Coturnix japonica: one gene and its partner. The protein of the gene in region 1 purifies or fractionates together with the protein of each later gene. This does not show direct contact. Links are inferred from orthologs where the notes say so. Each region holds a gene or a part of one and is shown in the gene's direction. Other genes may lie near its edges.

Region 1 (4,315 bases):
GGATGTTTGAGAGACTAGATATTTTCATCAGAACAAAGCTCCATCCAGCAGCTCTGCCAAGCACTTCTGTCTTAACAACACTGTATGTGCCAGATGGTTCTGTGGCTCGACTCTTTAAACGCACAGAGTGCATCTGTGCCAGTTTTTGTCTCTTCTGCTCCAGCAGCTTCTATAGCACCAGCTGCAGAATCCAGCTGTGTGACTGCAGCTTTGGCAGGGCCTCCATGCAACAGCATCCCTGTCACACTGCAGGAAGTCACCATTGATTTGAAGCGATTTGGAGACAAAGGGTTTAGGATAATCTATACGGGAAGAATGGAGGAAAACCATTCAGGTTTTATGTAGGTATTGATAGGCTTATAATAGTCTTATTGTTCAATGGAACAGGTTGCCCAAGGAGGCTGTGGATCCCCATCCCTGCAGGATTCAAGGCCAGGCTGGATGTGGCTCTGGGCAGCCTGAGCTGCTGGTTGGTGACCCTGCACACAGCAGGGGGTTGGAACCAGATGGTCATTGTGCTCCTTTTCAACCCAGGCCATTCTGTGATTCTATGATGAAATAATCCTTCAGACTCTACTTTTACTTGTCGGTATTCAGCACAGATTTTAACTCATGGCCTGTTTTGTTCTGTTCCCGCAGAAGTTCCATCACCCATCAGTAGCAAGTCTGCATCGAGCTCAGTTCATCTGGAACCTGGCTAACGTCCCCCTGCTGGATCAGTACGTGGGCGCCTTGGGCCAGAACCAGCACCGGGCTGTTGTGGAATGGGTCATCCAGCAGTTCAGGGAGGAAGTCACGCCCAAGATAAGCAGCTTTCGAGCTTGTGAGTGTTTTATTCTCAATCACGTCACAGTTTGTTCCAGGAGATCGGGGTCGCAGCCAAGGAAACACCTTAGTTATTAGTTATTAAGTACCGTTTGTCGCTCCCGTGTAGGTATCAACCACGGGGACCTCAACGACCACAACATCCTGGTGGTTCCCTGCTCTCCGCACGGGGCGACCCCGCGGTACCGCGTGTCGGGCGTGCTGGACTTCAGCGACATGAGCTACGGCTGTTACGTGTTCGAGTTGGCCATCGCCATCATGTACATGATGATCGAGAGCTCCGAGCCGCTCCGTGTGGGCGGCCACATCCTGGCGGGCTTCGAGAGCGTGCAGCCGCTGTCGGCCGCGGAGCGGGCCGCGCTCTTCATGCTCGTGTGCGGCCGCTTCGCGCAGTCGCTCGTCATGGCGGCACACACGGCGCTGCTGTACCCGGAGAACGCCGAGTACCTGATGGTCACGGCCAGGACGGGCTGGAAGCACCTGACGGACATGTGTGCGCGGGGCCGGGAGGCGGTGGAGAAGGTGTGGTTCGATACGGCCGCGCTGTACGCGACGAGAGGTACCGCCCCGTGAGGCGGGGCTGCAATAAACATGGCGGCGCTGCCATAAACATGGCGGAGCCGCGCTCCTTCCGCACAGCGGCGCCATTGGGACCGCGAGGTCACGTGGGGGTGACGCACTGCGCAGGCGCGGCCGCCATTTCCGACGCGCGGTGCCGGTGCCGAGGTTGTGCAGCGCCCGGTGTAACCGCCCGTTGTTCCTCAGCGCCGCTTCGGCACAGCGCGATACCGGCCGCTGTGAGTGAGGGGGGGGAGGGAGCGGGAGGGCGGGTGAGAGCAGGGGCCGAGGGGCGGGCGGTGCGGCCTTGGTGCCCCCTTCGGCTGTGTGAGGATGACTCCGCACTCCGGGCCCGGGGCGCTCGGTGCTGCAGGCGGGGATGGGGCGGGTCGCTCTGTGCTCGGGGCCGTGTGGGATCACCCGGCTCACCTTAACGCGCTGTGCTGTTTTGCAGGCCCGCTCCGCGCCGCTCCGGCACCATGGTGAGTGTGTGTGTGTGAGTGTGTGCGAGGGCCGCGGGTGGGGGGGCGGTACCGACATTGCACCTCAGCACGGGGCTGTTGTGGGGCCGCCTCGGAGCTGCTCCTGTTGGGTGCGGTGTTGGGGAGGACGGTGACGGGCCTTAACGAGCTGTTGCTTCTTGCAGTCTCGAAGATATGACTCCAGAACCACCATATTTTCTCCGGAAGGTACTTTGTAACCCTACGCTTCTAATTAAACCGTCTGCCTGCCGTTCCTCCTCTCAGACGTAACACGTAAATCCCAGGGCCGGTTGGTTGCTGGCAGTGTGTGTCCATCCCCGTGTGAGTTGCACAGACCGTATTCACCTGTCAGAATAGCCCTGTGTGCACACCACAGCCACACAGCGAAGGCTTCCCAGTCCTCATCTAATCCAGGCATCGGTGTGATCACACCCCATTCACACCTGTGGATTTGCACCACATTCCACTGCTCAAAGAGTTCCTTAATAAGTCACTGCCCTTCACCTTTCCTTGGAGCATGGATGGATTTTGTTACTGTTCTGTTACTGTTAGTGCTGCTGTGATTTGTTACAAGTCATGTTTTTTGTCTTAAGAGACAACCTGTCCAGTATCAATGATTCCATTGTTTTTTTTAAAGCCCATTTTGACTTTCTTCCAAAGTACATCTACTCTTTAAACTGTAATTCTTCTCTGCACTAATTACACCCATGATTACCTTATCAAGATAGGGCACTTTTCTGTTTCTGCACTTGTTTCTAAAAACTCATTTGCTGGCCCCAGCCCAAGGAACGAGTCCTAAACTGTAAAATGGGCATCTGTGTAACTCCTGCAAATTCACCTTTCCTTATATATGGTCTCATTCAGTGCTGCCTTATCAGTGTTGTGATGTAACTCGTTTCCTAGGCCGCTTGTACCAGGTGGAATATGCCATGGAGGCAATAGGGCACGCAGGTACTTGCTTGGGCATCCTGGCCAACGACGGCGTCCTGCTGGCTGCAGAGAGGCGCAACATTCATAAGCTGCTCGATGAAGTTTTCTTCTCAGAAAAAATCTACAAACTGAACGAGTAAGTTGCAGTGATGTCTGTCTGGCTGCTGGTGCTACCTGTGCCTAAGTACTGTTGTTACTCAAGCATTTTAGCACTGAACCTGGATTTGTTTTGTTTGGAGGGTTTGTATGAGTTTTATGCCGTGTTCCAGGCATCCAGGGCTGTTGTATTGTTATTTGCTTCAGTGATTTTTCTGAAGAAGCATCATGTTTTTATTTCCGAAGAGAACTTCTTATATGCAATAACCTGTTGGTACTTACCCATACCGGGTAATGATATTACATCAATATTAAATTGGCAGTTCTTGGTTTACAGAATAACAAGAGGAAGGAAATAGAGAATGCACAAATCCAAGCACTGTATCAGCTCAGCATTCCCTTTTAAGTCTCTTTTTTTCTGTTGTGATTCAGAGACTGAAACAAATTGGATAAAACCTGCTTTGGCTTATTTTGCTGCAGCTGTAGCAGAGATGCTTATCTCACTGCTCTGAGCTTCTTAGCTTCTCCAGAAGTTCAGTGTTACTCTGTCTTGCCTGTAGGGGAGGTGGAGCTTCAGCCTTGCTGTAAGGTGCATTGTGAAACACGAGCAGTAGGTTTTCATCTGTCAGTCTCCCATGCTGTGTTATCCTGAAGGCAGCTGGAGCTGGATTTTCAAGGAGGTGATGTAAGAAGTGCACTGGAGTAGCTGCCCAGGCCAGCTGTTCTGAGGAACTGCTAAGATAACAACTGCCAGTTATGGTCTGTGTACTGAAAGCTCTGTGGCAATATGAGGTTTGGCAAAGATCTGCTAAATTAAGAGCTAATAAAACAATTACAACAAAGATGAATTTTCAGCTAAAGCAGTTACTTTTCTAATGGCTGGTATCACTAAATTATGTTCATATGAATGCAGTCAGCAGATTGCACTGAGGGTCCATATGGGTTCTGATATGGTCAGCGCCTGGCCTCTATGTGGGTCCTGCTGTGTAGCCAGTGCCTCTTGTGAGTGTCAGCACTGTTAATCATTTTGGTATGGTCCTCAGCTGCATGCCAACGATGTGCTGACCTGCTTATTTCCCACTATCTGCCTCTGCTCTTGCAATATGGTTGTGTCAGACTTAGATTGTACTCTAGAAGCAGGATCAGTCTGTTCTACCCAGCAGCTGTGCAGTTTTGATGATAGAAGCCCAGCAGTAGGCATTCTGTTTGAAGTGCTGTATGAAGATGTGACTGTTTCTTGGAGACTGGTAGGAATCCGTATGTTCCTTTTGCAGGGATATGGCTTGCAGCGTTGCAGGAATAACTTCAGATGCCAACGTTCTAACAAATGAGCTGAGACTGATTGCACAGAGGTAGGTTGGCTGGTAGTTATGGGGGTTTGCTTAATTCTGAGTTGGATTCAGTCTATGTATTAAATCAGTACA
Region 2 (4,242 bases), on another chromosome or scaffold:
ATGGCTGTAAGTAGAGGTAGTGTTCAAACTGGTGCATGGGTCACATGCTGGATCATTTCCTGCTGCACTGGAGTGGCTATAAATCCAGCGGGTGGTACAAAATGTGTGTAGGATCAGAGAAACATGGAACATCTTGAGTAGGAAGGGAGTCATAAGGATCATCACACCCAGCTCCTGGCCCACGTAGTGACAATATGGTACAAATGCGCTCCCCAGGAAAACGCTATGAGAACACCTGAGCATCACGGCTTTATTGCACACAGATGTTTGGTTGCATTTCTTCTCTTTGTGGTATTTTTCAGCGTTTAGTTAACTGTTTCTTCTTTTATTAACAGGGCTAGTTTGAATGTAAAGACCAGAAAATAGGATTTGCCCTTGTCAGTTGCTTTATATCTAATGAGCTTGCAGCTGTTCAATGGTCCCGATGTAATTCTTGAGGGGAAATTCAATTAACAATTATATTTAGGAGACAGCTGGAGATAACAGCTATCAGCACTGCTTGTTATCACACATTCATCGCAGCTTTATCCAGCACCCACAGAGGCCAACGGCAGGACCAGGCACTGCCAAGCTCTGTCTCACTGACAAGCGTTATTATTTGCTATAAGCTTCTTAGGCAGCCACACAATCTGCTATCAGACCCCGTGACTAATTAGTCCCATCACAAACTCCATACCCGGTTTCACATCAGGTCTTTGGGGCAAGGAAAAGAGGGGATGGCCTCACGTTGTGCCAGGGGAGGTTCATGTTGGCTGTTAGAACAATTCCTTCTCCACAGAGCGGTGATGCAGTGGCACAGCTGCACAGGAGTGGTGGGGTCACCGTCCATGGAGGTGTCCCAGAGCCGTGGGGATGTGGCACTGAGGGACGTGGGCAGTGGGCACGGTGGGGTGGGCTGGGGTCGGACTGGGTGACCTTAAGAAGTCTTTCCAACATCCCCAATTCAGCGTTCCTGTGACTGACGTTCAGGTCAGTCGTTGCGGGCGGTGGAAGAACGGCGTTATGCCTCGTCTGTGGGGATCCCTGCTGCTTTACAGCAGAGCTCTGTAATGAACCGCAAAACCACACACAGTGAATTCTGAACTCGAGTGGGAGCGAGGGCCTTTCCCCAGCGCCGCTGCACAGCCGCTACGCCCGGCACGCACAAGTTGCGGGCGCTGCCCGGAGCCCGCAGCCCGTCACGGGGCGGCTGTCGCGAAATGGCGGCACCCCACACCGCAGCCGCGGGGCGCTAACGGGCCCCGGCCCCGACCGGAGGAAGCGCTCCGCCGAGCGGGAACCGCCCTCAGCCCCCGCCTTCCGCCGGAAGCGAGCGGGGCGGGGCGGGCGGTCGTTGGCCGTTTGCTGGCTCGCAGTGGGTTCCGCACGGCGCGGTGCTGCCGGAGCCCGGAGGGGGGTGGGGGCGAGCGGGCGGGCGGGCAGCGCGGGGCCGGCCATGGCGCTACCGCCGCCGCAGAAGGAAATCGTCTACAACAAACTACTGCCCTACGGAGAGCGCCTGGAGGCCGAGGCGGCCCGCTTCCTCGCGCAGATCAAAGGCAACCTGGCGCGGGCCGTGCAGCTGCAGGAGCTGTGGCCCGGGGGGCTGTTCTGGACCAGGAAACTCTCCACGTGAGTGCTCGGCGCGGGGCCGCGGGGGGCGCGGGCGGCCTGGGGCGGAGGGACAAAGCTGGGCAACGGAACCGTGCGAGCGCTGCGGATCGGAACGGGATTTTCTTAGCCGGTTATTTTGTCCGAAACCGCCTTTGTTTGGTTGTGTGCTCCCTGCTTGTCACCTGCCTGACCTCTCGCCTTTCCGAGCGGGCGGTGCAAGGCGTTATCTCTGTGAGTTGTGCCGTGGCTCAGCGCTGTGTGAGCAGTGTCCTGACTTCACTGGTAAACGTATTTCCGTAATTTGGCGTGTTTGTGCCAGCAATGACGAGCTGTGTCCTCACAGAGTCCTAAAGCCTCTCGTGGAATTCTCATTTCTGCCCTTTTCCTTTTAATGGTCTTGTTGATAAATAGGGGTTCTCCATTGCACATTCAGATCTGTTCGGTGCGTACATACTGAACTCATTCTGTTTGCCAGGAGTCATTCTTAGATAGAGCTACGTCGGTGGTTTCAAAATGACTCACGTGCTTTCGCTATGTGACAGTTTAGCCTCCTTGGAAGCAGCTCAGCCCTGCTTTGTGACCCCCCCCTGCCCCCATCGGGGAGCTCCTCCTGCTTTCGTTTGCCTCGTTGAAGTTGTACATACGAACACAGCTGAAGTGAGCTGCTGTTATGAAGATAAAGGTCTACATGAGGCACCTGAGCTAAAAGTGGCACGTAAATCCTTACAAACTGTGTGGCGTTGTGTTAGAATTACCCCACGTCCTGTCATTGCCGTGACCGTTAGCAGTTTAAGCTTTAGGGCACTGATTTTAACCTGCCGTGAGCTGCCACTGTGTGAATCACAAGGAACGTCAGGAGGCTCTAATTTGTGGTTTCCCACCTGCTCTTTGAAGTTTGAATTCATTGTGTGTTGTGCAACTTGTCTGATGCCTCTTAGTCCAAAGATTTCTTTCTGGCCCGTTCTGTGCCTTGGAGCATGTGTGGTCACAGGCAGGGAAGGAAACAGTGGCACTGGTTTAAAAATAAGCCTGTACCGAACATGAGAGGTGTTTTGCTCCTCAGCTGAACTTGACAGAGTTGTTCTGCGGGCTTAAGCTCTAAGCTTAGGCCTAGATGAAACATTTCCCAACTATATCGTGTTCTGAGGTTAGTACACTAGTGTTGTTGTGCCTTCTCAGGTGCTCTGTAACTTCCTACAGCTGGGAATTAAGTCTGGTACAAAGAGTGAAAGTGAACCTCCAGTCTTTTTTGGATTAAGAATTTGAGATCAGTGTCTGTTTTCTTACTTTGGGATGACAGCTGACCCCAAGGTCTCATAGTTCTTATACTCTCAGCAGTTGAGAGCATGACTTGCACATTGTTATCTTAAAAGGAGCTTTCTTGTCTTGCTGATGTCATGAACTGAGATGGGGGGGGGGGGGAAGAGCAAAAATGGCCCTTATCAGATAAAATGCCTGTAATCTAAAATCTAATTTGCATAATTTGCATTTTATGTGTAACATCGAGCCATGTAAATGAATCCTTTGGTGGGATGTGTATGCAGAGTGTGTAGCAAGACAGCTTTGCCTTGTGAAGACAGCTACTTAAGTAACTTATGACTCAATGAGACTCCTTGTGCAAGGGAAAGCGCTTGCCTCAAAGGCTGGCACTCAAATGTAATCATTACCCCGAGACTCCCCAAACTTTGGCTGGTAAAATCTGTATCTTATAAAACACTAATCCTGTTGTGAAAGCAGAAAACCAAATGTCAGCTGTTGTATAACTTGCTACAGTGTCCCAAAAAAAAAAAAAAACCCAAAAAAAACCCAACAGAGCACGTTGCATCAAAATCATTTGTTTAAATGGACTTGCATCATACTTTTGTTGTTTCATAGGTCAAAAGTAGATTGCTATTTCAATTTTATTCGCTTCTTTATGTCTAGTGTTGAAACTGTAGGTTTTCTTTTAGGGCATAGCCTGTAGATGTGCATGTGTGTGCAGTATGAGCAATTAAGCACATTCAGTTGACTTTGCAGCCTGAAAAGCACACAAGTATTGTCCTGTGCTTTCTGCTCCAGTAGGTGAGGGTGGATTTTTTTAGAGCTGAGGGTCAGGGCTTCTGTTCCTGGCTTTGGCATTCTGTGTGTTTGTCTGTTACAAGATGACATTTAGGTGCGAGGTATGAGAAAATGTATCTCAGCTGCTTTGGGGATGGCGGCCTCTCAGTGGGACCTGCTGAAGTATTTTAATTGCTGTCACAATGTAATTATTTTTTCCCCTAGCTGTTTCTCTTCCATCATTAACAGAAAAATATAAGCCTTCCTTTTGGGTATGTAGTGGTATGTGTACACTGTATGTGCACATAGCAACTGATTTGAGTGGTTTCAGTGAGCGTGAGTTATTGTTTTCAATGCAGTTTGCCAAATCCTGAGTTTTAGGCCAATCATAATGCTGTCCTATGTGTTAGAAAGTGAAAGCAGATAGCTAGGAATTCAAGAGAGCTCTATTCAGCTTCATAAGTGAAGGTAATTTTAACTCCAGTAGGGCAGCCAACTTCTAGGATAATTTAGGATGTCCACTTGATACGAGAGTTCATATCCTAAAAATAGGCCTATTGTAGTTGTGGAGCGAGAGGTTGGGCACTTAATATCTATAGAGGGGGGTGGAGT

Evidence for each region.
Region 2: the proteins of PSMA4 (region 1) and PSME4 purify together in Homo sapiens (affinity purification with mass spectrometry; 4 studies listed by BioGRID and IntAct, with this or other methods). This does not show direct contact. The link is inferred for Coturnix japonica from reciprocal best matches to the Homo sapiens genes PSMA4 and PSME4.

What each region holds. Positions count from the first base shown.
Region 1 is NC_029525.1:2,859,676-2,863,990, reverse strand, and holds the start of PSMA4 (proteasome subunit alpha type-4), read left to right. Parts: upstream 1-1,504; 5' UTR 1,505-1,622; intron 1,623-1,837; 5' UTR 1,838-1,862; coding exon 1,863-1,865; intron 1,866-2,029; coding exon 2,030-2,072; intron 2,073-2,094; exon of another isoform or gene 2,095-2,186; intron 2,187-2,768; coding exon 2,769-2,931; intron 2,932-4,165; coding exon 4,166-4,243; intron 4,244-4,315. Other genes in the region: HYKK (hydroxylysine kinase), read left to right, coding at 640-823, 935-1,398. UniProt on the Homo sapiens protein: Component of the 20S core proteasome complex involved in the proteolytic degradation of most intracellular proteins. This complex plays numerous essential roles within the cell by associating with different regulatory particles.
Region 2 is NC_029518.1:4,768,853-4,773,094, reverse strand, and holds the start of PSME4 (proteasome activator complex subunit 4), read left to right. Parts: upstream 1-1,387; 5' UTR 1,388-1,435; coding exon 1,436-1,611; intron 1,612-4,242. UniProt on the Homo sapiens protein: Associated component of the proteasome that specifically recognizes acetylated histones and promotes ATP- and ubiquitin-independent degradation of core histones during spermatogenesis and DNA damage response.